Canis lupus familiaris: one gene and its partner. The protein of the gene in region 2 purifies or fractionates together with the protein of the main gene of each other region. This does not show direct contact. Links are inferred from orthologs where the notes say so. Each region holds a gene or a part of one and is shown on either strand. Other genes may lie near its edges. The genes, in order: GALNT2 and TGOLN2.

Region 1 (6,249 bases), on a different chromosome or scaffold from region 2:
TTTTGCTTTTTGGGAGGTCCATGAACAGAAGAGATGATGAGATTTTATTTTTCTGGTGGAATATTTTTTAAGAGTGTGGAATGTACTGTAGAATCAAACAGCTGAGTCAGGTTACATATTTTGTTATAATCAATGTTGCACATCTGACCCTCTCCAGCTCCAGTCCAGGGCTCACAGAGCTCCCTTCCCCCTGTATCAGCTGAAACTCCTTCCAGAGCATTCCAGAGCCCACACCTGACTCTACTACCCAGGCTCGTCTCTGCAAAGCCCCCACTCAGAGCCTGCAGAGCACCCTGTCTTCTTGCTTGGCATGGAACATTCCCTCCCCTCCTAAGTCTTCAGGACTGTCAGGGCAATACAGAGTTTCTCAACAAATACTGAATGAATAAACTTTTCCCTGATGCCAAAGCAGGAACCTCACACACACACACACACACACACACACACACACACTCCTAGGACTCTGAGGGACACTGCACAATTATGCTAAGATCTTTGTTTCTCAGATGGTAGGAAAACTGAGTTTTTGGTTGTCTCAGATAATGGGGAAAGAGGACGCAGAAATGTGGTCTCTGGAACATTAAGAAAAACTCATCTGGGCCAGCCTTTCCGGTGTGCTCCTCTCAGCACCCAGTCCCCATCCAAGAACAGGCCATTGTAGTGTTTTTGTGATGTACCTGTGGGGTATTTCAAAGGTAGGTATTTTCAAAGGCTGAGAATAAGGGGGAAGGGTCTCAGGCAGCTTCAGATGGCCCCGGAGAGCCCCAGAGAACTGGTAAACAAGCCTGTGGGTTTTATTTATTTTTTATTTTTTAAAGATTTTATTTATTTATTCTTGAAAGAGAGAGAGGCAGAGACACAGGCAGAGGGAGAAGCAGGCTCCATGCAGGGAGCCCGATGTGGGACTCGATCCCGGGTCTCCAGGATCAGGCCCTGGGCTGAAGGCGGCCCTAAACTGCTGAGCCACCTGGGCTGCCCGCCTGTGGGTTTTAAATACTATAAAAACTGTGAAAATGTTTGCCCCCTCGCCCCACCCCAATTCGGTGTGCAAGGCTCTGAGTGCCCAGGACTGACTCCAGGTGAGCACTCGGGAGTGGTGTGACCTTGAGCAGGTTAGCCCCTGCTCTTGAGGTTAAGGGCTTCAAGCCACAGCCTCTCAGGCCAGCTGTGAAAGGCACCCCATCACATCTTCTCTCAGGTTACCGCGAGCAGGACAACAGAACGAATCCCAGGGCTTGGCTCAGTGCCTGGCACATCATAAACACTCCACCGACGATAATGGTTATTACTACAAATAAGAATAAACACCACAAGGGCGCAGCAGTACTAAGCAAATGCTTTTAAAAGTGTGCTAAGAAATGGTCATTGAGCAGGGTCCCCAAAGAAGACAGGCCGTTTCTCAGACATGAGTCACCCCCCTCCAGTAAAGCCCAAGAATGACCGCAGCCACCGCCAGAGAGCGTTATCTATAAAGTATCTTCTCTTTATTTAAGTTAAACAATTTTCAAGGATGGTTTCCATCTATAAAATGGACAAAGTACAAGCTCTGTACAGCAGTTCTTTTTTAAAAATCAACTGGAAAAAAAATTACCAAACTATATTTTGAATTTGCAAAACATACTCACAGATACCATCATTTTAGCTTTTATGAAGACATAAGAAAGACCATCAGAGAGAAGAGGACTGACTTCGCCACGCTTTGCTCAAAGGGCTCTTGGGAAAGAATCTGTATTTGTAAAAACGGGAGTGAGAGGGTGGGATCGTCCCGATGACTAAGAAATAATGCAACCACAGTAAGTCACTTTGGCACACTGTTGTCTTGTAAACATAGCCCACCTCCAGGGAGCCCTCCCGGCCCACCTCTACTCACGAGGCCCGCACGGCCGGCCACCTCTGCCACCCCCACCCGCTCAGGGACGGGGAACAGCCCCAGAACAGGGGGGGTGGGGGGATCCTGATGGTACAAGCTCGGTGAGAGTTCTGGGTGGGGTGGGGGCGTGTGGGGGAAGGATTCATCAACAACCTGACTCGAATTGGTTTTACATCAAAGCCAGATTTGTTTGCTAGCAACGGGTATTTTTTGCTAATGCCTGCAGGAGCTCACAGGTGACAGGGTCCGATGATGGAACCCAGGTGCTGGGGCAGAATCACCAGTACCGAGACTGGTTCCCGTCCCACCTGCCCTCAGCAGCCTCGCACAGGGAGCTGGCGCTGTCCCCAAGGGCCTACCTGCAGTCCCGACAGCCTCTGAAGACAGTGCAGAGGTCAGCCATCTGTGGCTTCCCTGTGCATTGTGAGCACATCTGGTTGCTTGACAGAGGGCAGGAAGACGCAGGATGGTGGCCCAGCCACGCCTCTGTACCTAAGCCCAGTGTCCCAGGGCAAACACATGGGGCTTTTGCAGTGGAGGAAGAAAGACCAATAGTGTCCCCTTTCCTAGAAGAAAGGGACAGGGAAGAGAGTGGCACTTTGCAGAGTGTCAACCCAGCAGAATCTTCTAGGGCCACTTCTCACTCTGTGACCTCCAGGCCCTCCCCAGAGGGGCCTGAGGATGTGCATGTCTGACGCATGCCCCACCACGCAGCAGCTGTGGGTGGTCCCGGGGTGGCCTCTCTGATGCTGGGCATACGTGCGGGAGGGGTGGGTGAAGGCAGTGAGGGGAGAAGGCAGGAGGGAGCCATTCTGTAGGGGGCCAAGGGGGCTCTGCAGGCACCTTCCTGGGCATCCCTTCCTGCTACAGCTTTTAGTTCCTAACTGTCTTGTGGTTTATACGGACCCCTGCTTCCTAAAGCACAAGCCTCCTGTTTTGTGCCTGGAATCCTCCACGTCAACTGATTAGGCATCGTCTGGTGTCCCCCTCTCCTAACTCCGGGGCCCCATGACCAAAAGCAGGCACACAGGTCTGGGAGGGACAGTGTGGGCAGGCCAGATTCAGGCCGTCTTGCCAGCTCATGGGACACTCACGATTAGCCCGATGCCCGTCTAGGACAGCTTCCTACCCTCACCTATTGGAAGCTGTGGGGCTGGGTTCTTGTTTTTTTGCTTTTTCCCTAAGAGAAAAAAAATCTAATTTTAAAAGACCCAAAGTAATGTTTGTCAAAATAAGTAACCCATCCAGGTTTACAGATACTGAGGGCACAACAATGGATTCCGACACTTAGCAGCGACTCCCAAGCTGAAGCCCCCAGGGGCCCCCGCAGCACCTGCTCACTGATGGGGCTCCCAGGGGCCACGAGGCCACCTCCTCCCCGGGGGAGGGCCCGGTCCCCGTCCTTCCGGCTGTGAACTGCTTTGTGGGGAACTGACACGATGAGGACAACCTACAGAAACCATAAGGAACTGACCGTACATTCTTTCCTTATATATATTTATACTTAGTGTCCCACCATAGAAAAGTTCATATTCAAACAGAGCAAGTACATCACGTGGAAGAGGGGGCTGTGCTGGGAAGACAGCGGGGACGGAGGAGCGGGACGGGGGAAGAACAGAAATCTGCAAAATGACACGGTTCGGCGTCGTGGAAACCAGATGGGATTTCGATGGGATCGAAAATGGAGATTTCAAGAGTTCTCCTCGCGGTGACGTCGCAACTACACTCCCTGCCCCCTCCCCGCCCCTGCCCCCCTGCCCCCGCCGGTACGTGTTCGTGTTCGGCGGCTCCTCGGGCCCTCCCAGGGATCGCTGGGGCTTCGGTGGCGGCGGCGGCGGCCCTCGCTGCCTCCCACGGGACGAGGAGCGCGGTGTCCACCCGGGCCCTGGGCCTCGTGCAAGTTCTCCGACTTTCAGACCATGATGGAATACTGAGGTATATAGTTTCGCAGAAAGTTCAAGAAACATAATCAATAAGGTGATCACCCCACTCGGCCTGCTGCTGTGGGCGCCGGGCCAGCTCGGCCTCGGGGCGCTCCTAGGGCTGCAGGTTGAGCGTGAACTTCCACTGCTGGGACAGGGCGGGGCCGCACACCTCCACGCTCAGGCCCCCGTTCTTGGCCGCGCGGCTGTCCAGGCACAGGTTGCTGCCCACGTGCCGCAGCTTGGAGTTGCCCTCGATCTGCTCCCATTTCTGCAGGAGACAGGACAGTCAGTGCCTTACGATCAGAGCCCACACCAAACACCAAACAGCCCACACGAAACACATCGTTTGCAGGGTCTTCTAGCTACGTTACAGACAGACAAACAAAAAAATCCAAGTATTTTTTTGGGGGTGAGGTGGGGGTGGAATCTCTGATCATAATGGAGGAATTACCAACTGTCCCAAGACAAAGCAGCCCAGGGGTGGTTCAGCATCCAGGAAGGAAACCTACGCTCTCTGCCTTGGTCTGCAACTCAAAACCTCTGTGCTGGGCCTGCTGAGGATGGCTTCTCCCACCCCACCACCCCCCTTCCCTGGCTGTCCCCGCAGCCAAGGACCAGTGCTCTGGACACCTGGCCATTCTGAGTGATTAACGCAAGGACCTGAGGTAGGGAGCTTCCAGTAGGGAATTTGCATTCATCCACAAGAAGGCCTCCTCTGAGGATATTTCACCATAAAGAAGGAGCCCCAAGAAGCTGAGCCAGAAAGAGGACCCCAATCCCACCCCTGGCTACGGAAGGTAGCCCTGCCCAGAGGCCGTGGCCTGGGCACCTCCATGCTCCCACTGAGGGCCTTATGCGCAATTAAAGCAGGGGAATGGGTACGAGATGCTTGAGTGGACAGGATGTCATGCTGAAGGACCCGTTTCTAATAATGTCTGTTTTCTCTACTAGTCTGTGAGCTCTTCAATGGGGGTGTGACAAACCTGTCTCAGCCACTCCAAGGGCCCCCAGTGCTCTGCATGGCAGGGACCAAGCAATACTTGCTGAGTTCCAAATGTGACACTTGCATGCTTTTTTTTTTTTCTTTCTTTTTTTTCCTTTTTAAATATTTTATTTATTTATTCATGAGAGACACACAGAGAGAGGCAGAAACACAGGCAGAGGGAGAAGCAGGCTCCCTGTGGGGAGCCCAATGCGGGACACTATCTCAGGACCCCAGGATCACAACCTGAGCTGAAGGCAGACGCTCAACCACTGAGCCACCCAGGTGCCCCTCAAATGTGATACTTGTAAAGCACAGGGTGTAGCATCTTCTTATTTGAGTGTGTACATCCTCCCTCCACCAAGACCAACCCACTAACCTCAAACAACCAGCTAACCAAACTCAACCAGTCAACCAACCAGCCAACTCACCAATCAACTAATCAACCAACCAAACAAGAAAGAAAACAGCCCACAGGCTAGCCTAAAAGAAATCTGAGGTCCCCTCACCTTGTTGTTTACCCCTACGTAAAAATTTCTAATGTTTGTTCTTTAAAAGAAAAAACGATCACACTTTTTTTCCCCCAAAAGCTCTCCCTTCATTAATATAGTCTGTGATTCTAATTAATTTTTTACGCTGTGTGCACTAAAGCTCCTTTCCGTATTTTTGCAAATCCTTTTGACACCGTGGAATTGAATTCTCTTCCTCCTGCCTCCCCTTCCCCTCTGACTCTGCAAATGCACACACAACACGAACACACAGACGTGCCTGGAAACCAAATAGCCCAACTGGCAAGACGGTGTAGTTTCAAGATAAAATTAGTGGAGGAGCCTCCTCTCAGAGGGCAAATGGATGAGGTGGGGAAAGAGGTAGAGCGAGGCAGACAGGAACCCAGCACCTCCAGGACTGGCTTGTGCACAAGAAGAGGATGCTAAGATGTATCAAGGCCCCTATGATACTCACACCATCTCTAACCTGGAGTTTCTGCCAACAGTGAAATTCAGTGCAATCAGATGAGCAGTGGGGAGGTCACAGCTACCTGCCCATCATGGCCTCCTTTCTGGCTCCCTGGCTGTCAATCATCCCTCCATTGTCATGTAAAGTGTGTATGCGCTGCCAACATCCCGGTGTCACTCTGAGCGGCCAGAAATCAGGCTTGACAAAGAATGTGGAATGAATGGAATCTGATTCCCTTCTCTGGAGGGGCTGTGCCTGTCATGTGTCAAAGCTTCAGCTAAATGAGAGGTCTTTAAAAAAAATAACCCAACTCCAGCTCTGTCTCTGGAAGGCAGTGTCGTCAGCCCAGAATCATGGGTCAGATTTCTAGGACATGGAGGCTCTAGCGAAACAGCCCCCACACGGCTCTCCACTGGGTGAAATCTCGGGGTCAGACAAGCTGTTTGCAGGACATTTCCAGCCCATGGTGTGAGCCTTGGGGGCATCATTATGCTTTCCAAGACTTGGGAGTCGCA
Region 2 (7,047 bases):
AGCAGGGAGGACACGGTTCTCAAGAACGGGAAAATCAAATCTGAAATGAGAGCAACACAATTCATTGGCAACATTAATCTCCTTCTAGAGGAATATACCTCACTGCTATGATTCTAGGGGGAAAAAAGAACTTATCAGAGTTGCAGTTCAGGAAGAAATTCAGAATTAAGACAAGCTGCCCCCAACATACAAAAAGCAATTGATAAAATAAAAGCACATAAAATTATTTTAAAAATCAGTTTGAAATTGGGGTGCCTGGGTGGCTCAGTCTTTTAAGTGTCTGCCAGGGTTCTGGGATCAAGACCCGTGTCAGGCTTCCTGCTGAGCCTCCCTCTCCCTCTGCCCCCCTCGGCCCCCTGCTCTCTTAAATTTAAAAAAAAAAAAATTAAAAAAAATTATGAAATCAAACATACTAAAACATGCACACTTGGTGAAAGGAATATGGGAATCTTAGTTTCTGTTTTGTATGATTCTACATTGTTTTGAATTGTTTACACGTGTATTTTTTTTAATTAGAAAAAAAGTGAAAGGGAAATAAATCCTTGAAGTCCATTATCGGGAAAGGTACTAGGCCAGGGCTAAATTGTGAAGCTGACCTACTGGGCTAGTTAGCAAAGGTGTTCTGAGCTGAGTGGCTTATTTCTTGCCAGTGTGAGCTATACACATGAACGGTGTTCCCTATAGGAAGTCCTGGAAATATTCACAGTTGAGTCACCAACTACTTTTTACCAATGTCCTGAGTGTCCCTACACAGAAGGCAAAAGGAGGGGGTGCATGCTGGCAGCAAGGCAGTGGAAGTACCCTGTTCCCACTTAGACAGGATGCCCTTTGGGGAGAGCCTTGCTCCGATCATGCACTGTGAGGTGGAAGCAGGCTCTGCTTTCTGGTAGGCCTGCGTTGGCCCCACTCAGGAAATCTAGTCCACAGTACTTGATAGAGCCAATCTGGGGAGTTGGAGGCCTTTATGTTTCTGGACTCATTTGTGTTCAGGAAGTGTAGTCTAATGCTTTGCTACCTAAAGCCTGGTTCCTCAGCATTTGGCGTCACCTACAAACTTCCAAGAGATGTAGAAGCACAGATTTCACCCTATATGTAATGAATCAGATTTTGCTTTTTCATCACAATTCCCAGGGTGATTAACATGTCTCCTAAAATTTGTGAAGTGCTGGTTCAGTGCAAAAAGTATAGGATAGGTGTCTATGGAGTTGCCATCAGGTCTTGATTTTGGCACAAACTTTTAGGAGGAACTTTGGGGAAAATCATGTTTCTGGGCCTCAGTTTCCTCCTCTGTCAAGAGATGGAGCTGATGTAGAACACATGAAGGCTTCTTCTAGTTCTCATATTGCAGACATGCATACATATGGATGTCTCTGCTTTGTGGTCCACAAAGGGCAGGGCAATGGCAGTGGCACCCAGAATCAGCTGCCACCACCAGTGCAAATCAAGTGCACTGCTGGGCCTACCTGAGACTGCATATCCCTCCCACACACCTGGGGCTCCCTTCCTTACCTTCTGGTCCAAACGCTGGTAATCACTGGCTTTTGGCCGCCGAGTGACTTTAGATCTTTTTCCTTCTAGGACAAAAGCAATAATCTGGGGAAAGGAAAAAGAAATTAACAGATGATTCTACAATGGCTTATTTCAGTCTCTGAAATCAGAGGTCATCACCTGGTAGTACATTTTTTTTTTTTTTTTTTAGATTTTATTTATTTATTCATGAGAGGGAGGGGGTGGGTTGGGCGGAGAAGCAGGCAGAGGGAGAAGCAAGCTCCATGCAGGGAGCCCAACGTGTGACTCAATCCTGGTCTCCAGGATCACACCCTGGGCTGAAGACGGTGTTAAACTGCTGAGCCACCCGGGCTGCCCTGGTACTACATTTGTTAATGACCCCGGCAGTGAAAGAGCCGCAAACTCACAAGAGGCATCTTTAAATTATAACAGTTTTCAGGAGGACGGGGCCTCCAGTTACATCAGAATCTTTTATACTGCTAAACAGGAAATGACAGATGAAGGAAGACTATTCTGGCCGTTAGCCTGTGGGAGTCTGGATGATTTACTCAAGAGCACAAAGATCTGCCAGCTGTGCCCCACACAGCTCTAGGATCAGACATTCCTTTTCTCTCACAAGCAATAATTATTTCTTATCTGCAAATGTACTTTTCCTCCCCACACCTTGCTTCATTTTAACCTTACTGCTTTTACATCTAAGATTACTCTGTGGGACGAGCACTTGGATGTAGAATAAAGAACTATTTTTACTAAATATCTTCCCTCATTCCTCATAGCCATAGGCATACTGATATCATAAACTGAACTCTCCAATTTTAACCAGGCTATAGAAACTACTAAATTCTTAGAGCTAGCGGGATCCCTGGGTGGCTTAGCGGTTTAGTGCTGCCTTCACCCTGGGGCGTGATCCTGGAGTCCAGGGATGGAGCCTGCTTTTCCCTTTGCCTGTATCTCTGCCTCTCTGTGTGTGTCTCTCATGAATAAATAAAATCTTTAAAAAAATAAATTCTTAGAGCTCAATAAGAAATGCAATCATTTGTCATCAGAGTGGTTGCTAAGCAACACAGATATTACTCCACACCAAATCTGCTGTAACATTAAAAGACGATTGTATCCATGCAATTTTTGGTCATTCTTCTAATCGGAAACTCAACCGATTGTAGAAGATAGTCCCTGGGCTCTCTGCTGCTGATGTCAAAGACTATGTAACCACTCTTTCTGCCATTGCAGATGCAAGATAAAAGTGTGGGAAAGGAAACTAGAAATGATGCACTATCTTCAGAGTGGAAATAGGAAGATAAGTACTCTACTTACAAACTGTCAGGTACTCAGATTCTCGGAGGCAGTAAAATGATCTAAATTTAAGATTGTGGGAGAAGACCCCAATTCAGGTCAGATCATAAAAATGTCCTCATTTGGCACCTAACACAGCAGCAGAGGGCACTCAAAAGAATCGGACATGAAAGAAAATGATTTATAAAATGAGAGTAAAGAGACCTAGCAGAATCTGAGGAAAAACTGAAGTTTGACTTGAAATCTCCAGTGCTCACAGGCAGATGAATGACAGATATTGGCCCACACACCAAGCTTTCAAGGTGGAGGAAATCTCATTCCTCAAGACAGTTCTTGACTTACCTTCCGTTTATTGTGATAGGCAATATAGAGGACAGCAACAAGAATGGCTGCAGTCACCAGATAAGCAAAGAAGTGGCTGCTTTCTGCACTAGCACTTCCAAGACTGTCCTTATAAAGGTCATCATTCTGCCTACCCACAGAATCCAAAAGTGTCCCTTCACGGTTCTCACTGGAGGCAAGGCCAGGCATTTCTTTCTCTCCTTGGAGTGGTGAACCTTCTTCAGGCTCCGTATCCCCTTCCTCAGCCTTCTTGGGTTCCACATCTTCGGTAAGCTCTATAGACTTGCCTTCTCCCTCCTGCTGTGAAGTGGGGTCAGAGTCCAGTAATACTCTCTCCTCAGATTCATTTTTATAATCATTCAGAGTGGGATCTTTGTCGGCTGGTATGTTTAAGTGAGGCTTGGTGGGCTTCTTGTTATCAGAAGAGGGGTTAGAGACCAGCTTGTTGGAGTGGTCATTCAAGGACTGCATCTGGGACTTCACCTTGCTAGTGCCATCTCCTGTGGCCTGTGGCTTGGGCTTCTCATCGTCAGGGTCGTCTCCCATAGAGTGTGGCTTGGGCTTCTTGTCAGGGTTGTCTCCCATGGCCTGAGGCTTGGGGATCTTGTCAGAGTCATCTCTGGTGAGCTGTGGCTTGGGCTTGTCAGGGTCGTTTCCTGTGGCCTCAGGCTTGGGCTTCTTGTCAGGGTCCTCTCCTGTGGCTTCAGGTTTGGGCTTGTCAGGGTCGACTCCTGTGGCCTCAAGCTTGGGCTTCTTGTCAGGGTCCTCTCCTGTGGCTTCAGGCTTGGGCTTGTCAGGGTCGACTCCTGTGGCCTCAAGCTTGGGCTTCTTGTCAGGGTCCTCTCCTGTGGCTTCAGGCTTGGGCTTGTCAGGGTCGACTCCTGTGGCCTCAAGCTTGGGCTTCTTGTCAGGGTCCTCTCCTGTGGCTTCAGGCTTGGGCTTGTCAGGGTCGACTCCTGTGGCCTCAAGCTTGGGCTTCTTGTCAGGGTCCTCTCCTGTGGCTTCAGGCTTGGGCTTGTCAGGGTCGACTCCTGTGGCCTCAAGCTTGGGCTTCTTGTCAGGGTCCTCTCCTGTGGCTTCAGGCTTGGGCTTGTCAGGGTCGACTCCTGTGGCCTCAAGCTTGGGCTTCTTGCTAGGGCCGTTGTCTCCGGGCTGTGGCTGCAGCTCGCTAGGCTCTCCTGTTGGGGCCACTGAAATAGAGAAACCAGTTCGCTCTGAAGAGAGGAAATCCGGGAGAAGGGAGCCCTCAGAGCTAGAAGAGACCGAGGCAACAGGCAAACGGGGGAGGTGGGTGATGGCAAGCGGAGGGGTGGCTCCGGCAGGGAAGAAGCGGGTTCAGAGAGCGACCCGGCCGCGGTGAGGACGGTGGACCTAGGGATGATAGTAGGATTATTGGGGGTGGGGTCTTACCCGCCACTGCGAGGCTCAGCAGGGCCAACGCAATCAGGAACCGCATCCTGCACTTACTACTCTTCCGCTCTCTACTGCTCTCGCGACATCCGCGCGCGCACTCTGGGCGCTCATAGCCCCGCCCCTTCCTGCGCTCGTCCTTCCGCCGCACGCCCAGGCGAGGGGAGGGGCCTCGGCAAGGGCGGGAGAGGACGGTGGTTCTGCTCTCGCTGGGGCCGGCGCAGCGTCCCTCGGCGCAGGCAGCTTACACCTTCTTCCTTTCCCAGGTCCACCACGAGCGTCAGTCCCCTTTTCCTTCTTTGCCCTTGTATTTCCGAGACAATTTTGGCAGAGCCAGAGCTCCCTAGCCTGCGGATGGCCCCGTGGGGACTGCACTCGCTGGGACCCGGCGCCTGGGCTTCAGACTGCTCACCTTTCTAACCTCTCTTTTCTCATGGTTCTTTGCTCGTAGCACACAAACGTGTTGCGCTCAGGTCTCTCCCATCTGGAAACAGAAACTGATCCCGTCACCTTTGTAGCGGGAGCCTTCCCAGTCCAGTTCCTCTCTTTCCTGACCCCGCGGAAACTGCTCTCCGAGGTCTCCCCAAAGGTACATCTTTTTTCTGGTCATGAAAGTTCTTCACAGTCATTATAGAAGATTTAGTGAGCGTATTTATAGAAATAGAAGACAAAATCTTTGTCCCATTCTTCCGGGATAATCACTATTAAAGTTTTAGTGTGTTTTCTGCCTTGCAGACATTAAAAAAGAAAAAAGACTTTATTCGTTCACGAGAGACAGAGAGAGAGAGGGGGGCAGAGACATAGGTAGAGGGAGAAGCAGGCTCCTCACAGGTAGCGCGATGGGGACTCAATCCCTCAACCCAGGATCACGCCCTGAGCCCTGAGCTGAAGGCAGACGCTCAATTGCTGAGCCACCCAGGCGTCCCTGTCTTGCAAACATTTTAATATATTTGGTTTGGTACATTCTAATGGTTCAGTAAAAAAAAGCTATACATGAGAAAGTTCTTGCTCCCTACCATTCTACAGTTACCACTTAGTTTATTGTGTTTCTATGTAGTGTTTTATTTTCTAGTGTTTTTTTTTTTTTAACACTTACGTATGTACTTATTTTTTCCTCCGTCTTATATTGGTGTATTTTTTGTTCTTTTCTATACATATTCATTTTCCTCCAAATTTGTATCATTGGGTAAATAGTTTTGTATCATACTGTTTTTTTTTTTATTTTTTTAAAAGATTTTATTTATTTATTCATGAGAGACACAGAGAGCGAAAGAGAGAGAGAGAGAGAGGCTGAGACACAGGCAGAGGAAGAAGCAGGTCCATGCAGGGAGCCTGATATGGGACTTGATCCCGGGTCTCCAGGATCATGCCCTGGGCCAGAGGTGGTGCTAAACCGCTGAGCCACCAAGGGATCCCCATATCATACTGTTTAAAGTACTGTTATGTTTATACATTAATGGCTGCTTGAAATCGTTTTATAATCATTTGCCAGGTTAGGTGCTTAGTAGAGAGTAGTTTTAAAAATGATAGATCCTAACTTAAGAGTGTAGATATCTCCCAGGTGAAGTTGAAGAGAAGAGGATGAGTTCTCCCTTCAGCATGTGCGAAGGCCTGGAAGCAGGTGGGAGCCTAATATTTTGTGGAAGTCTAAAGATGAGAACAAGATTGCTAGATAACAGAGAATAAGGAAAATGGCAAAGGATGGGTCTGGAGCAAAGCCAGATTTAGGAGCAAATGATCTGGGAGTTGTCCAGAACATAAGTCTTTGTGTGACAGAAAACTACATCAGAAAATATTCCAGTTAACTCGGGTCAAAATGTAATCCCACCAAAAAGGACTACAGCCACCAAGGGAAATACTACTCCTCTGTAGTCTGTTGAGTACAATATTTAGGTTACATGTCATGCAGTTCCAGTCAGTTGAAATTCTTCAGAATTTCAAGGAACAGGTACATGGCATAGAATGTTTTCAGGACCAGGTACTTTGTTATTTACAAACCCTTCAATATACTTCCCAGTGTTCTTCTGTTGTAAGAAAATCTCACGCACACTCTCATTATTGAGGAGAGAATAAGAATCACATAGAAGTGGGGTCCCTGGGTGGTGCAGTGGGTTAAGCAACCAACTCTTGATTTCAGCTCAGGTTGTGATCTTAGGGTCCTAGGATCCAGCTCAGAGTCAGGCTCTATGCTCAGCAGGTAGTCTGCTCAAACTTCTTTCTCCCTCTGCCCCTTCCCTCTGCGTGCATGTGCGTGAGCTCTTTCTCTGTCAAATAATGTTAAAAAAAAAAAAAGAATCAGAGAAATTTTTTATGAAGTTATTTCAGAAATGTGACTCTGCTCTGGCTAAAGGATGTGAACTGGTAAATGAATCTGTTTCTAAAAGAAAATTATCTCCACCTCCCTTAAATAAATATTTGGCTAACATGACAGGATATTTGCTTGGCATGTGTGTAAGGAAGGGAATGGAATTGTTTAGCTTGACCTGGCATCCA

Evidence for each region.
Region 1: the proteins of TGOLN2 (region 2) and GALNT2 purify together in Homo sapiens (affinity purification with mass spectrometry; 3 studies listed by BioGRID and IntAct, counting the BioPlex papers as one, with this or other methods). This does not show direct contact. The link is inferred for Canis lupus familiaris from reciprocal best matches to the Homo sapiens genes TGOLN2 and GALNT2.

What each region holds. Positions count from the first base shown.
Region 1 is NC_049225.1:9,431,810-9,438,058, forward strand, and holds the end of GALNT2 (polypeptide N-acetylgalactosaminyltransferase 2), read right to left. Parts: intron 4,064-6,249; coding exon 3,908-4,063; 3' UTR 1,463-3,907; downstream 1-1,462. UniProt on the Homo sapiens protein: Catalyzes the initial reaction in O-linked oligosaccharide biosynthesis, the transfer of an N-acetyl-D-galactosamine residue to a serine or threonine residue on the protein receptor.
Region 2 is NC_049238.1:40,034,642-40,041,688, forward strand, and holds the start of TGOLN2 (trans-Golgi network integral membrane protein 2), read right to left. Parts: upstream 4,742-7,047; 5' UTR 4,601-4,741; coding exon 4,555-4,600; intron 4,335-4,554; coding exon 3,145-4,334; intron 1,594-3,144; coding exon 1,510-1,593; intron 41-1,509; coding exon 35-40; 3' UTR 1-34. UniProt on the Homo sapiens protein: May be involved in regulating membrane traffic to and from trans-Golgi network.